Ovis aries: one gene and its partners. The protein of the gene in region 1 interacts with the protein of each later gene in a biochemical or structural test. Links are inferred from orthologs where the notes say so. Each region holds a gene or a part of one and is shown on either strand. Other genes may lie near its edges. The genes, in order: EIF4E, EIF4EBP3, IPO8 and EIF4G3.

The links.
Region 2: the proteins of EIF4E (region 1) and EIF4EBP3 form a complex in vitro, tested with the Homo sapiens proteins (2 studies listed by IntAct, with this or other methods). The link is inferred for Ovis aries from reciprocal best matches to the Homo sapiens genes EIF4E and EIF4EBP3.
Region 3: the proteins of EIF4E (region 1) and IPO8 form a complex in vitro, tested with the Homo sapiens proteins (2 studies listed by BioGRID and IntAct, with this or other methods). The link is inferred for Ovis aries from reciprocal best matches to the Homo sapiens genes EIF4E and IPO8.
Region 4: the proteins of EIF4E (region 1) and EIF4G3 form a complex in vitro, tested with the Homo sapiens proteins (3 studies listed by BioGRID and IntAct, with this or other methods). The link is inferred for Ovis aries from reciprocal best matches to the Homo sapiens genes EIF4E and EIF4G3.

The regions. Positions count from the first base shown.
Region 1 is NC_056059.1:26,265,455-26,270,935, forward strand, and holds part of EIF4E (eukaryotic translation initiation factor 4E), read left to right. Parts: intron 1-598; coding exon 599-705; intron 706-5,481. UniProt on the Homo sapiens protein: Acts in the cytoplasm to initiate and regulate protein synthesis and is required in the nucleus for export of a subset of mRNAs from the nucleus to the cytoplasm which promotes processes such as RNA capping, processing and splicing.
Region 2 is NC_056058.1:49,382,940-49,388,498, forward strand, and holds EIF4EBP3 (eukaryotic translation initiation factor 4E-binding protein 3), read left to right. Parts: upstream 1-2,702; 5' UTR 2,703-2,769; coding exon 2,770-2,873; intron 2,874-3,949; coding exon 3,950-4,128; intron 4,129-4,287; coding exon 4,288-4,316; 3' UTR 4,317-4,631; downstream 4,632-5,559. UniProt on the Homo sapiens protein: Repressor of translation initiation that regulates EIF4E activity by preventing its assembly into the eIF4F complex: the hypophosphorylated form competes with EIF4G1/EIF4G3 and strongly binds to EIF4E, leading to repression of translation.
Region 3 is NC_056056.1:184,422,028-184,427,508, reverse strand, and holds part of IPO8 (importin-8), read right to left. Parts: intron 4,862-5,481; coding exon 4,658-4,861; intron 2,395-4,657; coding exon 2,278-2,394; intron 1,221-2,277; coding exon 1,123-1,220; 3' UTR 1-1,122. UniProt on the Homo sapiens protein: Involved in nuclear protein import, either by acting as autonomous nuclear transport receptor or as an adapter-like protein in association with the importin-beta subunit KPNB1.
Region 4 is NC_056055.1:245,522,827-245,528,307, forward strand, and holds part of EIF4G3 (eukaryotic translation initiation factor 4 gamma 3), read left to right. Parts: intron 1-645; exon of another isoform or gene 646-949; intron 950-1,097; coding exon 1,098-1,334; intron 1,335-2,006; coding exon 2,007-2,111; intron 2,112-3,513; coding exon 3,514-3,646; intron 3,647-5,481. UniProt on the Homo sapiens protein: Component of the protein complex eIF4F, which is involved in the recognition of the mRNA cap, ATP-dependent unwinding of 5'-terminal secondary structure and recruitment of mRNA to the ribosome. Functional homolog of EIF4G1.

The DNA of each region.
Region 1 (5,481 bases):
TTCCTTAGGATCGTTTGAAAATGACAGAAGTTGCTCAACTTTATAAAGTTACCATATATCATAACAGTGTGACATGAAGGCAAGGATCTGTGTAGTATTGCCTTACTCATTTTATAAAGATTTTTTGTGTGTCATGTAATATAGTTAATTATGCTCTCCAAACTTTAGTTGAACTGGCCCTTCCCACTAACCACCCCTGCCATGCACAGCACTTTAATGGGATGTTAAAGATACTTCATTCTCCTATTTTCCATGGTGTCTAACAATCTTATGTTAAATTTGTAATTGGAAGATAACAATATATATTTTAAATTTGAGAAACATTTTGCTCTTAATGAAGAGATGCTAGAAGAGTCTAGTGCTTTTCTTAGAGTTTGGCTAGTGGTCTACTTTATCAAATGCTTCTCCTATAATTCATTCTTTAAAAAAAATGTTATGGACAGTATTGGTTAAGATTTATTTAGAGTATTGCTGTCATAGAGATTAAGTTTTCACAACATTGTAAATTAACTATATTTCAATAAAAATGTACAAATAAATTTCTTAATGTTATTTCTTCATGTTAAGAAGTTTATAATGTTTAATTATTTTCCACTAGGAAACCACCCCTACTCCAAATCCCCCGCCTACAGAAGAAGAGAAAACAGAATCCAATCAGGAGGTTGCTAACCCAGAACACTATATTAAACATCCTTTACAGAACAGGTAAGCTTTCTGACACATAGATTTTTTGACTTGGGCAACAACATAAATGGTGAATGGGACAGGTTTGGAGGGGAAGGTTAGAATAGACTGGTTTTAGGTATGTTAGGTTGAGGATTCCATTTTCACTTTGATGACCCACATCTGGCAAGCAGTTTTATGTGTGAATCTTGCGCTCAGGAAGTGTAACTTTGAATGGTAGTTGAAACCATAGGAGTAAATGAGTTCTCTTAAGTGAATCTGACTCACAACAGAGGCTTGGAATATTAGCACATGGGGATTTTTTTTGGGTAAGAATGGCTATGAAGATAACAGACGTGGTGCAAAGAGAGAGGGGGTTGGGCAGGGATGAACTGGTAGTTTGGAGTTAACAGATGCAAATTATTATATAGAGAGAGTGGATAAACAACAAGGTCCTACTGTATAGCCCAGAGGACTATATAGTTAATATCCTATGATAAACCATAATGGAGAAGAATATGAAAATATATATACAGATGTATAGCTAAGTCACTTTGCTGTACAGCAGAAATTACCATAACATTGTAAATCAACTGTACTTTAATAAAATTTTTTAAGAATGCCTGTGGAAGAGTATAGACATATATACTGCATAAACTAGGGCAGAGTGTTAGTCATGGAAACCAAGAAAATGGTTTAAGGACAAGGTACAGCATATATGCCCCAAAAAGGTCAAATATTCATTGGATTGAACAATAAGTCTTTGCTAACACTGGAGAAAGTTAGTAGAGTAGATGATAGAAAAAGATTGGTGTAGTTTGAAGAGTGAATAGAAATATACAAATGTATAGAGCAGGAATAGACAATTTGAAGGATAAAGTTGAGATGGTCTGTGAAGAAGAAAGAACCTAGGGTATGTGGAGTCTGGATATTGGTTGGTTTGTATTTTAAGAGAAGTTTAGAAGAGGAAAAGAGAGTTTAGGATGAGTTAAGTTTTCATAGTTGCAATGTAGTAGTTTAATACTTCAGTATATGCTTTTTCCTATCTCCACCCTACCACTTCCCAGTATGTGCTTTTACTTAATTATCTTTCTTGTTTATCTGATAAAACTTAACTTTAATTCACTGAGAGCTGATGGTGGGAACACTTAGAAACATTGTAAGAATCTGGAGGAAAGTAAATTAGATAAATTAACTTTCAAGGATCTGTAATTCCTTTCATTCCCCCTCTCCCAGACCCTATAAGTCTATAATTAGGTTTCATTTATCTGAAAAGTGTGTTGTTCCTTTATGTCCTTTTTTTTTCTTCATTATCATTGTAGACCTTCTGAAGTAATAGTCCAAATATGCTTTAGTAGTTTTTTCATAGAAGGTGGGTGATTCAGCGTACCCTCCAGGGAGGAACAAGTCAGTTCTCTAGATACTGTGGATTGTCAGCCAATGTGTGAAATACCGAAGGTCGAATAGTTGATAAAAGGAAAAAATTCTTTCTCAGGAAAGATTGTGCCAAACTAATACTAAGTTGGACAATTGATGAGTGGCAGTTTTATACAGTTCATCCTAGCAGCAGTACTAAAACCTTTAAAGTATTTTCCCCCCATCTTTTCAGTGGTATCATATAAAAAGCTCACTGTTTTCTCTCTGTGAACACAGTTCTTCATGTTGCTGTTATTGTGGGAGATCAAGGCATATATCCGTCATAGCTTAAGATGAAATCTGAGATTCCTGAAAGGTGCCCTTATCAGTGAACAAACTGATTAAATCCTAAAATGAAGTCTGTGAAGATTTTAATTTCTCTATAATTTCTTATTTCTTGTGTAAAATAACATCACATTGAAAACTGTTCTAAGACATTTTTGGTTCTGATTTTGGTGATTTCTTCATTATTTACTTTTTGTAAATAATTTTGTAAGGAATTATGTTTTCTTTAAAATAAAAACCACTATCGTATTATAAGAACGATTAAATCATTGAGGCTCTAAGTATACAAAGTTTTAAGTTCTCTGTTTTTCCCTGATACCTTCTTCCTCATTTTGTTTTGCTCCACTCCCCAAAATAGTCTGTTAAAAATTTGGTTTGTATTTTTCCAAAACCTTTCAATGTACATATATATACTTTTTTAATCTATACAGATTGCAGATTGCCATACTATTAAGTCTTTATTTTAATCCACAGCTTTGTTTTAAATGAATATACAGTCATATTTTATCAGGCTTACATTAATGAGTATGCAGAGTTTTTAAATTTACAAACAGTACTAATGTATGCATCCTTTTTTTTTTTTTCTTTTTGCACTTGTGTGAATATAGTGGTATATCTATATGGTAAAATTTCCGAGTTCTTAGGTTTAAGACTGCTCATTATCTACCTTTGTAGACACTGCCAAATTATCCTCCTTTATCTGCTTAGACTTACTGATTTCTACATCCTTGCCAACTGGTACCGTCAGTCTTTTAAATTTAATTGCCTGTCAGGTTGGTTCTAGCCTAATTTGCGAAAACAATGTCTTATTGTTTTGAATGTGCATTTCTTCTATTGAAGTTTCAAACAGTTTTGTTCAAGACAATTGCTTATTTGTGTTTTTACCTGTGAGAAGTCTGTTCAGTTCTTATTGTCTGTTATTTTCTTTTTGGTTATCTTTTCAAGTTTATTTCTAAGCATTGTACATTAGGGATGCTAACCGATCCAAGGGGGGATTAGGTTGAAATACACTTCCAAATCATTTGTCTTTTAACATTGTCTAAAGAGTTGTGTTATTTTAAAGGTTTTTTTATTTTCATATAATCAAATGCCAACTTTCCTCCATGGTTTCTGGGTTTCATGTCAGTCTTAAGAGAATTTTACCCACATATTTATCCTTTTTTTTTTTTAACCCACACAATTAACACATTTAATAGTGGCCTAGAAGTCTTCTTGCATGTATATATTATGTTTATTATATTTTTAAAATTATTTATTGTAATTATTTAAATCTCACTTCTTTGGGCTCATGACCCCTTTACATTCTTAAAAATTATTGAGGATTCCACAGTGTTTTACAGGTTATATAGATTTTCATCTATTTTCATTTGCTATATTAGAAAATCTCAAAAAATATAAAATTACATATGTACTTAACCCATTGCATTTTAATGTAAATGATTTTTATGGAAAAAATTTATTCAAAATAAAAAATACATAATGAGAAGAACAGCGTTTTTGTAAATATGTTCAAGTGCCTGGCTTAATAGAAATCAGCTAGGTTTTCATAGCTGGTTCTGCATTTTCAAGTCTTTGGAGATACGTTGTTTCAGAGGAAGTTTAAGGATAAAATATGACCTCAAATATACCATGGTTGGAAAAGGAGAAATTTTAATGGCCTTTTATAATTATGAATATCTCCTTCCTTTGATACTAGGTTTCTTGCAGGTTAGTTGCAATAAAGAATCTGAAACCACATCTAAGAACTTTTTTCTACTCTGTTGCTTTAAAATCCATTGATCTGTCTTGCATTTGAAATATATATATCCTTCTTCACTCATGAATACCACTGGTCATTTAGAAAATACTGGTTCAGTGAGTCTGTAGACCTTAATATTGGCATTTTTTATTATATGATATCAAAACAATAACATTATCATTACTAAATGTCCCAGAAATATACCCAAGTTTTGTTAAATTGTCATGCTCAGTGACACCTGCAGGCTTTCCAAAATTCTGATTTTTCTCCTGAAAGCTTAAATTTTAGCTACATGCTCACTCTGTTCATTTTTCAAGACGTAACCATGATTGATCAGCCTATTCTTCCAAGTAAAAGTGGTGTTCTTTGAGAAAGCGACTAGTTCTCCTCACAACTCAATGCCTAAGCATTGTCTTTGGTATGCAGAAGTATTTTTTGTGCAGAAAAAACATGTGCACAGATTGAAATTTAATAAAACAAGTATTTTATTACTGCTTCATCAGTGGCATTCTTACAAGAAACTGGCAGTTACTCTTCTGAGAGTTGATTATAATACAGGAACAGTGACAAATGGTAGACATGGGTGCCACTGTATGATTCTTGTTATGTACATCACTGCTAGGTTTACTGTTGTTTTTGCATCATCAGTGAACATGTTAACACAGTGAAAAATAAAATATCTTAGGACTTTTATGAAATAGTTTTTACTCATCAGTGCTCCTGAAAGGGTCTTAAGATGCCTAAGGGGATTCGTAAACCACATTCTAGAACTGTTGATAGGCACTTATGATGTTTCCAGTTTTCCAAATTTAAGAACGTTATTGTACAGATATTTTTGCTTAGTCATCCAGTCATTTTCTAGAATAAATCTTTAATGGCTGCAATTTTTTTTTAATGGAATGGAATTTTATTATTTTCAGTTGAAGTGTAACAATTTCAAATGTACAGCACAGTGATTCAGTATTTGTATGTATTGTGAAATGATCATAATCAACATCTATCACAATACATACTTATAATATATTTTCTTATAATGAGCGCTTTTAAGATTTAGGCTCTTCACAACTTTCACATTTGCAGTGCAGTGTTATGAACTGTATTTACTCTGTTGTACGTTGCATCCCCATGATTTATTTTATAACTGGAAGTTTGTTCCACTTGACCCCCTTCATGCATTTCCTCACCCCTTTGCCTCTGGGAACCACCAGTCTGTTCTCTGTATCAGTGAGCTTGGGGTGGGTTTTTCTCCTTTTTTAAAGTTTTTTTTAGATTTCATGTATAAGCAAAATCATATAGTATTTGCTTTTCCTGTCCAGTGTGTGATTTATTTAACTTGTTACAAAGTCCTATGGTCCATCCATGTTGGAAATAGCAAAATT
Region 2 (5,559 bases), on another chromosome or scaffold:
CATAGTCCAACTCTCACATCCATACATGACCACTGGAAAAACCATAGCCTTGACTAGACGGACCTTAGTCAGCAAAGTAAAGTCTCTGCTTTTGAATATGCTATCTAGGTTGGTCATAACTTTTCTTCCAAGGAGTAAGCGTCTTTTAATTTCATGGTTGCAATCACCATCTGCAGTGATTTTGGAGCCCAGAAAAAGTCTGACACTGTTTCCACTGTTTCCCCATCTATTTCCCATAAGTGTTGACAAAAACCCTCTGATTGAAAATCTTTCTTGGTCCTTCATGCAGGTTGAATGGATGATGGATCTGGCTTTCTCTCTAAAATCCAACTACCTATTCTCTAGTTCCCCAACCCTTGTAGCACACAGTGTCTCAAGAAAAGTAAGCTTCTGGTGGTAGTCTTATCGTAGTAGTAACTGCTGCTGTTGTTTTAGAAGAGATTAATAGATGGGAGACCTCGCTTCCATACTGATCCTTCTTGACAGCCTTTGACACTTGGCTCGTAGTTCTCCTGCTCTCACTGGTCTTTCCCATTCTCCTCTGGTGAAATCCTCTTCCTCCACTACCCCTTAAAGAAATACAGATGTGCCCAGGCCTCTTCTTTTGATGTATCTTCTCCCCAAGGAATCTTATCCCACAGCCTTAGATTTTACTCTACCCAAATCTGAATCACTAGCCCAGAGTTCTCCCTCTGTAGCTTCAGACCTGTACATCTGGCTCCTTACTTAACATTCTCCAGTGTTTTCCATCTGAACATTCCACACACATTATATATGACCCAATATAATATATGCCCCTCCCCTTGTTTTCCTTATTAGTTGGTATTATAAACTACCAAGACTTTCAAGTCACAAGACTGGGACTTATCCTAGCTTATCTCCTTCCCACCCTACCCTTAAATCAGTCACCTTATCCTTACTCCTCTGTGTATCTGGATCCCCTTCACTTCTCTCCATCCTTGCAGCCACTGTCTTCTTACCCACCCCATTTCACTAGGCTGGAGTCTTCACCTTCAGTCTCACTATTCTCCATCCCATGTCTCACTCCCCTCATTAGACTACTTACCTTGCTTAAAAGTTGAGTTGTCATAGACGGTTCCTCACAATCTGATCCCAAACCTTATGCTCCAGCACTTATTGTGAAAACACTTCCTTCCGGTATATACCACTTTATAAGAGGCTCAAAAGCCTTTTTGGAACAATAAAACATTTATATCCTTGCTACCTGAAGTGTGATTCTAAGGACATGCAAACCTAAGGGTCTGCATCACCTGGAATTTTATTAAAAGCTTAGAATTTCAAGTTCTAATTACTGTATCAGAATCTTCATTTTAGTAAGATCTCCAGGTGATTTATGTGTACGGTAAAATTTGAGAAGCAATGACTTGTAAAATACCGTTTTTTTTTTTTTTAATAAGTAAAGAAATCAGAGCTGAAGGAAAATTTAGTGAAGCCAAAGCTTAACTAATACTAATAAATGCATTAAATCAGGCGGCCTATAATTAATTGGCTGGAAGAGAAGGGGGACACTGGTGAAGGGTATACTGGTTTTGAGGAAGCCAAGCAGCAAACAACTAGATCAAGTTGAGATTTTTAGTGTGCTCAACTTAGAACTTACTCTCTTACCATCTCTTTCATGACTTTCATCATGCCTACATCAAAAAATCTCTTTAAAGGCCACTCTTGGGCCAGTGGTTAAGACTCCACACTTCAGTGCTCACTGCAGGGAGCTTGGATACCATCCCTGATTGAGGAACTAAGATCCTACATGCTTGGAGACTTGGCAAAAAGAAAAAAAAACAACCCAGGCTCTGTCTTGCCAGAGGGCTAAAAAACCAACCCCTCCTTTCCAACCCCCAGCCCTTCTTTAGTTTTCTGAGGTTGTGAGGTTAGCTAGCAAAGATTAACGGCAGGGGAGGGGACCACAGAGGATGAGATGGTTGGATGGCATCACCCACTCAATGGACAGAAGTTTGAGTAGACTCCGGGAGTTGGTGATGGACAGGGAGGCCTGGCATGCTGCAGTCCATGGGATCGCAGGGTCAGTCAGATACGACTGAGAGATTGAACTGAACTGAGGTTAGCTGTGGCAGAGATCAAAGAACAGGCCTATTGTATCTTCCAACCTTTATTCATCCTTTAATCAGTCCACTTATTCCACAACTAATGTCTGTGCACCAGGGCATCAAGGCACTTTAACCATGTACTGAAACTGATTAACGGGGGGCATAATAGCTGTGCTTAGGGGCACACATTTAAATCAGACGCACTCAAGTATGAATCCCAGCCCCCGCTCCTAATACAAGATCCGTGACTTCCAACCATGACCTAACCTCTCTGGGCTTTGGTGTCCTCACTTGTAACTGTAACTAATAATAGTGTCTTACTATCCAACTGTTAGGAATGGATGAATACAAACAAAAAACGTGTGCCATACCTCACACGCTCCCAGCACCCGCTGGAAATAGTAAATAGCAAATGACTGAGTGGCTGCAGCGCTCATAGGCAAAAGCAGGCTGGCCTATTTGGGGCCAGGAGGAACTGGAGACCACTGCGGGTCCCGGGACACGCTCCAACTTTTCGCTGAGTTTGGGGCTTGCTCCCGCGAGGGTAGGGCGGGATCTTCGGGTTGAATGACGGCCGGCCCGCCCCCGGCGTGACGTCGTCCCGGTGTTGTGGCTGCGACCGCACGTGGTAGACACAGTCCGCGACAGACTACGCTCTGCGACCTCAGCACCAGCCGCTGCCTTCCTGCTCTTTCCGTTCCCTATGCCCTCATCCACCAGCTGCCCAATCCATGGGGGCAGGGAAGGGCTGCCCAACTGCTACGGCAGCACGCCAGGGGGCAGCGGCACGCTATACGCCACTACCCCCCCGCCCCCCGCCGAGGTCAGAGGGCCGGGCCAGGGTCGACAGGCAACAGGCAGGCCTGCATGTGCTTGTCGACGGGCGTGGGCGGGGAGTTGCAGGCTGGGGTTGTGTGCAGGACCCCTTGCACGTTTTAGCTTTTAGCGGGGTGGGTTCTTGGAACTTAAGTTCAGTTCCCTAAAACCTCGAAGTGATGCAACATGGCCTTGTGCCTATTTTCCGGGTGACTCTGGGCAGAAATCATCACTGTGGCCTGGGTTCTGGGCTCCTTGTTCACCTACCCCTGCCAGTATTGCCGCCTGGGAGTTATAGCAGGAGCTTTGGCCCCTCGGCTGTGTGGCCTCAGCAGGAAGCACCTGGGTTTTGCAAAGCTGCAAGTGGTGGGGATCAGGGGCTGGAGGTGGGGGCAGTCGTGGGGCAGGGGCTTTAGGCCGCTGTGCTGGCTGGCTTGCCTAGTGGATGACTGGTGGAGCAGCCTGGAATCATACCTACTCAGGGGTTCCTGCCACGCAGGGGAAAGGGAGGAGAAGAGGTAGGGCCTTGTGACCACATGGCAGGGGCCAAGTCCTCTGGGCTGAGCTGAGCCTGACAGGACTTGGGAGGGGTCGGGATAAGAGCCTGTCCCTGGGTTTCACAGGAGCACTGCCCCTCCCTGTCTGAGCCCAGGTGGCAGCATTAGCCTTCACATCTGTTCTTTGGCTTCCTCATCCAACTGAGGCTGAAGGGCTAGGCACTACCTTTTGAACCAAACAGGTGAAGTTCAGAGCCAGCAGAGGACAGGAACCTCCAGAAGCTCTTGAGCTCCAAGTCTGGTGGTGCTCCTGGAGCTCCCCTAAACCAAAAGCCCCTGCCTAGACCAGCTGGGATGCCCCACTTGCTCTACGGTGCTGACACAACTTGGTTAGGCCCAGAAGCCTTCAAGTGCTGTGAGAGCTAGTCAGCTGAGATCCTGACTGGGCTGCAGAGCAGTAACCCTTAAGAAAAGGGAAGATATGACCCCTTGGCCCCTAAAAGACCTGTGTCTGGGGTCCCAAACAGCTTTGTACCCAAGCTCCTGCCTCTTACCTAGCCCCTACCCCTTGACAGGCACCAGGATCATCTACGACCGAAAGTTCCTGCTGGAGTGCAAGAACTCGCCCACTGCCCAGAGGCCTCCCTGCTGCCTCCCCCAGACTCCCGGGATCACAGCGCCTCCAACAGCCCCACCCCCCAAGCTAGAGGAGCTGACGGAGCAGAAGGAGACAGAGGAAGAGATACCCGGTAAGGAAAGCAGGCCCTAAAATTTTACTATGGCTTTGAACCCAAAAGCCCCAATTATGTAGATTGGGGGCGGGGGTCAGTTCTGAGGGGGCTGTCTGAACTAACACTGAAGCTACAGACTGCCAGCCCAGCAACCAGTCCTGCCCTTTCTCTCCCCAGATGATGCACAGTTTGAAATGGACATCTAATCCAGTGCAGATGACCATATGTGGAATGAGAGGAATCCATCACGCTGCTGCCGCTACCTCCTTTCTCTGGGGTATCCAAAGGCCTACTGGCCTCATCTAATCCGGAAGGGGGTGATATGTTGGTTCTGGGCCTCCATGTTGGGTCTGAGGCAGCTAGACCAGGGATAGGAGTGGGCAACTTGCCAAGCCCTTAGCTCTACTTTCTCTTTGGTCTGTAGGCACTCCTCCCAACCCCTGGCACTTGGCTCCAGCTGAGGCTGGGCCAGGGGAATGGAGAATGTCACTTTCTGACTGCTTAGTAAACATTCAAAGAAATGCCTTGGCTCCAGTGTTCTCCTCAATGTTGATCTTCCCAGCTCAGCCATAATGTAAGGGCCCCAGCAAACCTGGTTAGGATAAGAGGTCTCAGGTCCCTTTCTAGCTCCCTCTGGGCCCACTTTGAGCAGCAATTAGACCCTGAGGCAGACTTTGGGGACAGGCCATAGGAGCTGCCAAACCGTAAACAGCAATAGCCTGACCCCTGCCAAGGGCAGCTGCAGCCTTTCCAGGAAGCACCCTTCCCAGAATCAGCCTCTCTAGCCGTCCCTCCCTAGTTGTTTCAAAGCAGGAAACAAGAGGCAGTGCCCCAGCCTATAGCCTTCTTTGGTCTCTCCCCATGCCTTTTCTGCCTCCTACCTGTAAGTACCAACGTTATTCCAACACTGAAAACCTGTACTCTCCCTTCTCACAGCATGATGTGAACCTCCTGGCCCCTTCCACCTGGTTCTGTTGTCCTCAAAGTGTTAGAAGACCTTAGGGCCCAAACCGAGGCAGCAGCTTATTTGGTGAGTCAGATAAAGAGTCATAATCCTGCTCCCCCTCCCCTGCCCCCATGGGGAAAAATCATGTTCCCATATTGCAACAATCTGGTCTTTTTCACCTTCAGTTTATATAGCTATGTTATAATCTCTGTAGCACTTGCATAGGTCAAGGGTGATGCAATGCAAATAAGGAGTCTCCTCCTTTTGAGAGAAAAAAATGTTGAAAACAAAGTCATGTTGAAACAAAGTCATCCAAACATAGATGACTCAGCCCAGAAAGGGATCTATGTTTCCATGTAATTTGAGGGAAAGTAGCAGGTGATAATCTACTCATGCTTAGCAAGGCCATTCATGATGAATAGAGGAAAAAAAGAAGCAGAGCAGTCAAGGACACCAGAGGGAACATGGGAAGGGCTCGCTCATCTCTCCTACCCAGGGCCCAC
Region 3 (5,481 bases), on another chromosome or scaffold:
AGCCAATCTGAGCTAAAATAAAAACAGATTCAGTTCAGATTAGATAGGAGAAAAGTCAGATGTGTGAGAAAGCAAGAAGTTAGATTTACTTGGGTCTTTTTCCTAGATAAAAAATACTGTTACAAAATGTTTTGGACCCAGGTCCAACACAGCTGGAATGATAAGTTATTGACAATGCAAGCTCCCATCCAGAAAGACAGCATACTTATACAGCACCTTTCTCGTAGAAGTTCAATGTGCTTTAGCATAATTATCAATTAACTGCATAATTAAGTACATGATTCAGAAAATACTCTGACTTATTGTTAATTCCAGTGACTAAGGAGTCCCTGCCACTTGCTGCCAAGAAATTTTTGAGTCCTGAACTTTACCAGGTTATGAATGAAATCCATACTCATATAGATTGATTCAAAAGAAATACTACCCCTTTCAGGGCTGAAAAATATGACAGAAGAGAGAATAAGACACTTCTTAGGAAAGCCACATCTTTAGGAAAAAACACATTATGAAAAACCAGAGCCAGTGCATATTGTACAACCCCTGAAGAAAGCCCCCAGCAGCAGGGGGTCAAGGGGAGCAGTGATGATTTTGAAACCAGAGTGACTTGTAGCTAACTGTCTAACAGGAAATTCACATAGTAAAATACAGAATAAATCAACATACAGCCAAGGTTTACATTTATCTAGAAATATGTTTTATGCTTTAAAAAAAATTGCAACACACTCCAAAAAAATTTTTTTCAGATAATTCATGTACAACAGAAGGCACTGTTATTCGCATAAATCCATTGATTCTGCATGGCAAAACCTGAGACGTGCAATTCCATCCAATCCTCTAAATCCACCTTGGTCGTTCATCCTTTGGAGCATATGCTTTGTCCTTTTCAGTCCTACGATTTTGTTTTTCTTTAATTCCATACATTACAGCAGCTGCTTAAAATATATATTTCAGGGTGAGAAAGATCAAAGGGGACACAGGGGCAGAGAAAGGTGCTGCCGGATGCCAAGCGGTAACTGGCACAGCAGGTGGCACAAACAGCAGCCCCTCCCCAGCTCTGCTGACCCTCTCCTTCCGCTGACGTTCAATGTAACGATGACATTTGGTCAGTTGATGTTCCTTCTTTCAGTTGTTGGTAGGCATAGTCCCAAAATTAAATGCAGAGAGGACTCCTTTGTTTTCAAAGGTGAAGCCTCCCTGTTGTTCAATCTTCTTCTTTGCCTCTAGAATTTGCAAGAGAAAGCAGGGAAAAGAGAAGAGTATCTAAGGTAACAAAGTTGGAAATATCCTCAAAGGAGCTAGATTCTTTAGAGTTAGCACTGTGAAGGAATGTGAATCGTGGTATTAATTATTCTGCCCAATTGAACACTAGCCTTTAACAAACCCATGTCAGTAAGTACAATCGTCCAGGTGTCTGGGGATATGTAACCCACAGATACACAGGATATAGAGGGCCCACTGTACCACACCATTTTAACAAGGAACTTGAGCATCCTAGGATTTTGGTATTTGAGGGGAGCCTAGGAACCAATCCCCTCTGAAGATACTGAGGAATGACTGCAATTATAATTCCTATTTTGGAACAACTGTTTGCTAAAACTGAGCAATATAAAAACAAGGCTCAAAGCCATAGTGTCTACCCCTAAAAGGGCACACTCACTTCTCCCATCAGGAGAGGCGATACAGAATCTGGGCAGGACTGAAGTCTAAAGTCCATGCAGAAGAAGCTGGGTTCTAAACTCTAGATTCCTATTCCATATTGTCTTCCACTAAAATACTTCTGTAATTACAAAATCTTCCATTAATTTTCCAGAAGTGGCCATAATAATATCTGCGTAAAATAATTTCTCCATCTCAAAAACTGAAAATCAACAAGAATCACCAACTTCTACATAAAGCCCAACAAAAAGAAATGGAGAGTATTTCATTTCTAGAAATATAAGGTCCTTATAAGAACTCATAAAATGCCTTTGATTCACTGTTTAGATGGTTAGGTGGGTGACCCAGCTGGTTAACTCTCCTTCAGCAAGATTCATCCCACCTTTATGTCTTAGCTTTGGCTCCAAAATAGGATAAAGGTGTGAATAAGAACACTACTAAAGACAGATATTAACACAGGGTGTTTTGCAAAGCTATCGTAAGTGATTAAAAAATCATAAAATAATGATAATTTCTTATTATCTTGAAAGGTTGGCCTCTAAAACCAAATTTTAGAGGCTGGTAAAAATAAAGGCTAACTACCAACACATGCACTCTGATCAGAAAATCATGCTGGCTGACCTGCCACTGTCCTCCGGTGCTCGGCCAATGTGTACACCTCCTGCAGCGCCCTCCTCTGATCCTCACTGAGCGGTGCCATCAGCAGTTGATACCACGCAGCATCCCGATTCTGCACAGCTGTTGTAATGCAGGGGTGTTTCAGGGGAGAAGGAATGATAAGGGAGTCCAGTGACAATTATTATTTCAGATAATAACTAATGATATAATCAAATTACAATGAAATGATAACAGACAATAGGTGATAAAACTTATTCCAACAAAGGATGACTCCTGAGTACTCACTTTAGTACTCAACCTATGTGGGGCTACAAAGGAAGGCTGAAGTGAAGTGAAAGTCGCCCAGTCATGCCCGACTTTTTGCGACCCCATGGACTATATATAGTCCATGGAATTCTCCAGGCCGGAATACTGGTGTGGGTAGCCTTTCCCTTCTCCAGGGATCTTCCCAACCCAAGGATCGAACCCAGGTCTTTGCATTGCAGGTGGATTCTTCACCAGCTGGGCCACGAGGGAAGCCCCTTGTAGAAGGGTTGGAACACCACAAATCTCTCCCTTGCCTAGTTCTCTGTCTCCTTTGCCATCTCCTCCACTTCTTGGGGTTTCACTAACTATGAAAGCTCCCTAAAGTCCAGATCATGGGAAACACTTTACTCACTTGTTATCATTTTCCTCAGGAATTCTCATGCTGCTGGCACATGCCACATGCTACCTGCATCTACACCAAAAACTCGAATTTGTACCTTTAGGCAAAACTGTTCACTAAACTTCCTGGACTTTCACATTGGATAGGTCACCTGCAACTCAGCACAACTGTAACCAAATGTAACATTTTACCTCTCAAACTCTCTTTGGATCTCCCCATTTCCATCACTAGTTCTATCAGTCTCCTGGTCAACCACTATCATACCCCCTGCACATCCAATTCTGTGCTTCTTTCTTGATGGTTTTCACCTATATGCTTTTTTTCATCAAACGCCACCCTTTCTCTCGAGGGCCTTACTTACATAAAGCAATTTCCTAACACCTGGTTCCCAAGTCTAGCCCACTTCAGTTCTTTTTGGACATTATCAATAGATAATACCCCTGAAAGAAACTACCACATCCCCAAAATCACCTCTTTATACAAAAACATTCAACAACACTCTAATGGGCAATGGGATAAAGACCACCTCAGTCCAGAATCCAAGGCTGGTACAATTTGGTACAATTCTAACACTTCACAGAGACTTAAGCAGTGGTCCCTATATATGCTGACTGAACAAAGTTGGTTGCCTATCTCTTGAGGAGCTTTTTCAAAATACATATCCTGAGATCCCACCCAAGACCAAAGAGCTTCTTTGTTGGTTATGGTGGACACCCAGGTCCAGTAGCGCCTTAGAGCACACCCTCTGCATTCCAATTTCCACCTTTATGCTCTTTATCTTCCACATGTTTTGGAATATCATTCCCTGGACTCTCTACCTCTTGTTCCTGCTAAATTTCAATAAAACACAGAGGTGATTCATTAATGGTATTTGTAATAAACAATACACTGGCATACTACATAATGTCAGTATATTAGGCTACCACTACCTTGTTAGTATTAACAACAATATTTTAGGGTTGGTGTTCAAATTGAACAAGGATGTTCAATTTAATATTCTTTACAACAGCAAAGAAACAAAAAACTGGAAATATCCTGTATGTCCATCAGTGGAAATAAGCTAAATTATGATACTGCCATAGAAATACAATGCAACTATCAAGCAACCCATATAGTGGGATTTCTTTTCATTATAACTTGTTTATAATAATTTTCCATATATTCTCATTGGTTTATCACTTATTTTTAATTCTATAAGTTTTCTATTTATATATCTCATTCTTATACTAGGTTATTGGTCTTATTCATTTATAGGTTTCTGTAATCTGTAGATCTTACATGACAGTATTTTCTTCCAATCTTTTATGAGTACTTTAACTGTATTTCTAATGTCCTGTCCTGTACAAAACTGATATATTGCTTATATAGTTAAAAATGTACTCTCTTATGGACTCCATTCCTTCCCAAGGGGACTGTGAATTGCTGATAAGTTTATGGCCACAATTTTTAAGCAAAATATGTGAGATACTTCATTCTGTAAAAATCTTTCTTTATACCTAGAGGATGAACAATATATATAGCTACTCTGCCTTAAATTACTTTTATGAGGATATCCTGCAATCTTACCCTGACAGTATGCTATCTGCTCTCATTTTATGTATGTTTGGGGATTTCTATAATTAAAAATAAATACAATTTTTACAGGGAATTCTAAACTAATTTGGGGTAGACCCCAAAACAACATCTAAAAGATGGAAATGAAAAACATATCTGACGATTCAGGGAGTAACAACATACTCAGCAAAGCTTGTGTAAAAAATTGATATTCATCCACACTATTGTCAAGGTCCAGCGGAGTACTGAATCCCTCAAGAGCAGTTTCTTCCAACACTTCTTCATCCCAGTCATCGTCATCTTCCTCCTCATCTTCACCTCTTCCATTATTTGACTGCATTGCTTGAGCAGTTACATTAGTCTCCTCTTCATCACTTGAAATCTCTTCTGTGAATCCATTATTCATTCAAAAGTAATCAAATCACATAAGGACAAAAGATAATCCAAATGAAAACAAAAATTATAAAGTGACATTCTAGAAATGGAAAAACTATCAAATAACTTTATGTAAAATAAACCTTACCTTTACTATAGCTTGCTAAATTGAAAATGAGTTTATCTTCCTCATTTAAAACAATTTCTAACTATCTCTAAATCTGTGATCTAGATGAACTGTTATTACTGTTTAACAATGGCTGCTTCATATCCATTAACATAAATACTATTTAGCCACAGATTCCCAAATTAACCTTTTTGTAAAAAAAAGACATAAAATGATTGTGTACTCAGTACATGTGTTTTAAATAACAATGACCTCCCATTGAGAATGTGAGTCTCTTAACAATTAACCAAGATATTAAGAATTACCAATTGCTTGGAAATATTCAAATGAAGAGGTCATTTCCGCTAACAGAAACAGAAAAGTTTAGAAATATTAAGAAAAATAATCAGCTACACATGGGTTAAAAAGTAGATAGCTGAACTGTGTATCTCCATAGATTAGTTTCTATTTTCAGGCCCAGTCTGTTCCAGGCAGACCAATACTGTAAATAACTGGAAGATAGTAA
Region 4 (5,481 bases), on another chromosome or scaffold:
TTTATTTTCTGAATAGGTCTGTGGTTAACTGTCAAAACCTCAAAGGGTCTACCTGACCCTTAATTTAAACAAGAAGTTTATTTAAACAGCAAGACAATTGACTTGAAGGGAAAATTATATAGGATCATTTCTTCTTTTAGAGTAATTTATCCTTACTTAAACAGAGATTGCCCTACGTGTAACAGCTACATACAGAAAAGTTATAAAGTTGTCACTGGTTTTACAGTGGTAAATGGAAAACATTAAAATCCTCCAATCAAACAAGGAGTGCAAGAATTTTTATGTGGTTCTATTTTTGTTAGACAATGAAAGCAAAATAATATACTGGAGTATAAAGAAAAGAGTTGATGAGTATGCCCCAAATGGAGATAAAGGGGATGTTTTCACCAGACCAGTATTTTTCCCCATCCCATCTTCATTTGGTGTCAGTCAAAACATACCATCGGCCCTGTCGTTTTTTTCAAGTGCACTATGCGTGTGCATATACATCAGTTACTCTGTGTATAGTAAGGGAATGAGAAAGGAGAAAATGAAAGAGTAGAGAAACTACACTCCAGCAGTCAGGATGTGGCGGAACCAAATTGTGATTTTCTAGCGGAGAGTGTCTTTTTGGTCTGGAGGAACAGAATTCTAGGGGTTCCCTATTTAGTAGACACCTACTATCTGCTCTTGGAACACAACAGTTGTATCTTCATCCTCCACTTCTAACTGTTCAGGTGTGTCTTTTTCACTGATTGGCTGCCCGTCAGATCAGAATTGATCTGCCTCACTGACAAACCCTCTCATTCACAATAGGCTTTTATTAGGGTACTAATAAAAGAGCTGTATGCCTCTTAATGTTAAACGGCACCTCTGAACCATCCTGCCCCTCCACCTTCAAATTAGTATGATTGTTTTTCTTGGTTTTGACGCCTTCCTTGAGCTTTTCATCAGCAGTGCTGAGCTCCATAGTCTCCCTAGCTGCTGCTTCATAGGAGACTTGCCAGGTCTGCACTGAACGAGCACACAGGCAACACCAGTCACACGTATGTTTTTAGCATCTTTTGAGTAGTACGATCTTCATCATCAAGATTCTGTTATTCTTCCTTATGCAATAGCCAGAGGAGAGGACAAGGCTTCATGATGAACTGGAAGAAGCTAAAGATAAAGCCCGGCGGAGATCCATTGGCAACATCAAGTTCATTGGCGAACTCTTTAAGCTCAAAATGCTGACTGAAGCCATCATGCATGACTGTGTGGTGAAGCTGCTGAAGAACCACGATGAAGAATCCCTCGAGTGTCTATGTCGCCTGCTCACCACAATTGGCAAAGACCTGGACTTTGAGAAAGCAAAGGTACGACCCCCAAATCTCAGAAACCTCCTGCAGGGACTCTTTGTCAGCTGCGGAAGTTGACTGTCAACACAGGTCTCCATCTTATCCTAGCAGCCAAGGCTGCTTGCTTTTCTTTCGTCCTTCTCACTGTCAGTGTTGGGCCATGGTGCTCCTTACCACGTTTTCATTAAAGTCAGAAGTGAAGAGGGTCCAAAAGAATTTAAAAGCCAGGTCATGAATTGAGATTATTTGTCCCATGTCCTTTATTTTACAGGGCCTTCACATGTATATGAATAGCAATACATTTCTGTGGCTGGCTAAGAGATGACAAAAAATTTCAGTTCCTCCAGTGTAACATTTTGTCATCCCTAAGGTGTAGCCCTGGAGTACTTCTTGACATCATAGCCAAGAAGGTTAGAAAAGGGCAAAGGACACAGCCACCTCTCTCTTAAGGTTCCAAGGGGATGCAGTAGGACATTTCCATTTATATTCTGTTGGCCTATATTTAGTCATATGGCCATGGCCTGCCGCCTGGAATGTGTAGCCTTTATTTTGGGTGTCATGTTCAATTAAAAATTCTACCACAATTCCTTTTGGCCAAAAGTTGTATTCCTATGCTGTCTTAAAATTCTGTGTGATAAAACAACATTTGAATTCCTCAGCCAGGAATACCAGTGATTTTGTATCTTGCAGCCACGTATGGACCAGTATTTTAATCAGATGGAGAAAATTGTGAAAGAAAGAAAAACCTCATCTAGGATTCGATTCATGCTTCAGGATGTAATAGATCTAAGGCTGGTAAGTAGAAAAATCAACCTACCTCTTCAGTCTCTTTTCAGGATTGGCTTGGGGAGGATGTCGTAGGATTTATATGTGTAATGGCGTAATGCTTTTGCCGCATGACTCAGAACATGGATCGACAAACTGTGACGAGAGCTATGTGGAAGGACAAAGAGCATATACACCTGCCTGTCTGTAACTTATTTCTTCTCTTTATTCTGGTGATCAGACCACTTTGCAGTTTTGAAACCAGCCATTCTGAATGCAAACTGTGGTCATTTAATTTAATCTTAGCATGCTAAATAATCAAGAATTCTCATCTTCAAAATAAATGTATTTCTCTTCCCCGAGCCTTACATTTTAATCTCTGAAGTGGTGACATTGTCTGCCTTGCAGGTGTGTTATAAAGATTCAGTGGTTATGTATGTGCCCAGCTCCCAGGAGATGTAGATGTTTTCCTCTCTATTGTTTTTCCTGTATACCCTCTTGTTCTGCTGCTTTTTTTCCCTCCTTTGTCATGCTAAGTATAGTTTTTACCACTACCACCTTTTTCAACTCCAAGAGGAAATACACTGCCACTGACCCTAAGGTAGAGGAAGTGAATATAGGTCCCCCTCTGTACCCTGCCCTGCCCTCAGACCAGGCAGCATTGACGATGGCTCTTTATCTTACTAAGCTGAGACGTGACCTCAGGATCCTTATTAACAAAGTCACTTCCAGTTGATCAGAATTTTGAATGCGATTTAAATCTATTTGCCATTCTTGCCTCAAACTAATATAAGTAAATGTTAAAAATTGCTCCGCCTCTTCCTTCAGTCACTCATATTTGTATCAGATATTGAGACTATAGCTCAGAAGGGAAGGAATGGGAGAAGTGTAACTTGAAGGAGACAGCTTGTCTTACCCTTAGTGGAGAGGATAACTAGAGCTAGAGCTTAGAACATTTTGTATAGATACCACAACCTCCATATGCGAGGAAGGAAAATGCTAGTCATCCTCGATTTAGAACCCCAGCGGAGTGTGGTGTGAACTGAGTAGCAATATATCCAACAGCGTCAAGGCCAGAAGTCCTGATCTTTATTGATTCCTCCTCTCTCTCCTTTGGAAAGTGCGAAATGATAAAATGTACAGATAGCTGGCTAGATAGGTAGGTAGGTAGATAGTTGGGCCATTCTTTCACTCTGTATTTCTATCCGTTGGCTTCTGCATAGAGTGACTCAGTGGCTGAGGCAGATTTCAGTGTTCAGCACTGCATCTGAACTGCACACAGAGCCATCTGTGAGGTGGCTGAGCCTGCTGTAGCGCCAGGTTTACATGTATGCTATGCCTTTCTAGCAGTGAAAGGAAGAAACCGATTTTTCTGAAGTTTCCTTTCTATTTTTAGTTATCTGGCTGACATCCTGGTTTTCTCCTTTTATAGTGTAATTGGGTATCACGACGAGCAGATCAGGGGCCTAAAACTATTGAGCAGATTCACAAAGAAGCTAAAATAGAAGAACAGGAAGAGCAGAGGAAGGTCCAGCAACTCATGACCAAAGAGAAGAGACGACCAGGTGAGGGGTGGGTCTGCCGGGCGCTAGGGAGCTCAGGGGCTTGAGGGATGGATATGTTGAGAATTCTACACTCAGGTGTGAGATGAGAGCAGAAAGACTGACCCAGAGAACAGAACGGTGAGTGGCAAGTGGGACAGCATCACCTGGAGACTGGTTGTGTAAAAACAGAGAATGTGGGAAGTACGTATTATTCCTTTGATTACTCCAAAGTCAGCAATCAACAAGGCTTTATTGAGCATCTTCTGTATACTCAGTATAGGTGAGGGATATGAAAAGAAGTAGAAGATACAGCTCCTTCCCTCTGGAAGCCAGAACTAATAAAGGGAATGTTTTCAAGCAAACGGAAGATACTATCAGTTATGAAATGTATTCTCCACTCAGGCTGTTAAAATTCAGAACAGGCAGGATAGCAACCTAGAGGAAAGGGACACTTGAACTGTGCACTGGTAGATGGCCAATATTTGGAAGGGATGGAAAAATTATAGTCATGAAACTAAAGTAAATATATACTGTAAAGAAGAATAAATAAGCCTGATTAGAGTAAAATTTAAGTGTTGAGAAGGATTGAAAAAATCCGAGAAGAGTGGACCCAAATCAGGAAGTTGGGCTCGAGCTGACACTGAGGAGCCGCCGCGTGCTTTTGAGCAAAGGCTTGATGATGGGCTGGGTACATGTCAATAAAAGGGGTCTGCTGCTCCCTGGAGAAGACGTCGATGCTGGGAGTGACTGAGGGCAGGAGGGGAAGGGGGCGGCAGAGGATGGGATGGCTGGATGGCATCACCAACTCAATGCGCATGGGTTTGAGCAAACTCTGGGAGATAGTGAAGGACAGGGAGGCCTAGCGCAGTGTAAGTCCATGGGTTCACACCGAGTCAGACACAACTTAGCAACTGAACAGCAGTGACCACATTGCTTGTCACACGGTGAATCAAAGGGTATACCAAACTCAGAAACACTGTTGTCAGTTGAAATCCTATGTGGAAGGAGGTTAAAACTTGGTAGTGATAAAAATAAAAAGGAAGAAAAGAAAAAAACGTGAAATAGTAAGCATTTTACACCTGAGAAAATAGAAAATTCTGTTGACTCAGTTTAGGAACATTGAAAGGAAACTTTTTCCAGAAAGGAAAGGAAATGACCGTTTTTCTTATAAGATTGTTTCTTCTGAGATGACATCCAAATGGGAACGCTCGTTTTGTCCACTGTGCTATGACGTGCTCAGATGGTGAACAGGTCATATTAGTATAAAGGTTGAGGGCGTAGACTCAAGCCAGACTGTCTTGGTGTGAGTTTCAGCTCTCCTGCATCCTAGCTCCGTGACCTTGCGCAAGTCACTTAATCTATAAAATTGATCGAATAATAGTACCTAGGATTTGTGTGAGGCTGAAATGAGATAGGCAAAGTGTTCAGCATAGCAACTGACACTGACTAAATATTCAACAGCTATGACCTGGTATTTATCAGAGACACTGTATACTCAGTGAAGTTCTGAGAGATGACTCCACCAGGGAAGAGAGTGTGCTTTTCCATTCCCCAGGAGCAAGGAATAATCAAGCGTGTTCATGACCATTAGTATCACTTAGCAAAGAGAAAATCAAGAAGCATGTGAGGATTGAAAAAGCTTTTAGACAGACAGTTTGGTGGTCTTTCATTCAGTAAATATTTATTGAGTGCTTGTCACATAGCAAGAGAGACAAAGTCCATTACTTCCTGCAGCTCACATCTTAGGAGGAACAGAGGGGAACAAATACTTAAATATATAAGTTTGGCAGATATGTTCTATAGGAAAACTAAAACAGAGAAGGAGTAGGAATGCAAGGTTTGATGAGTAGAGAGGT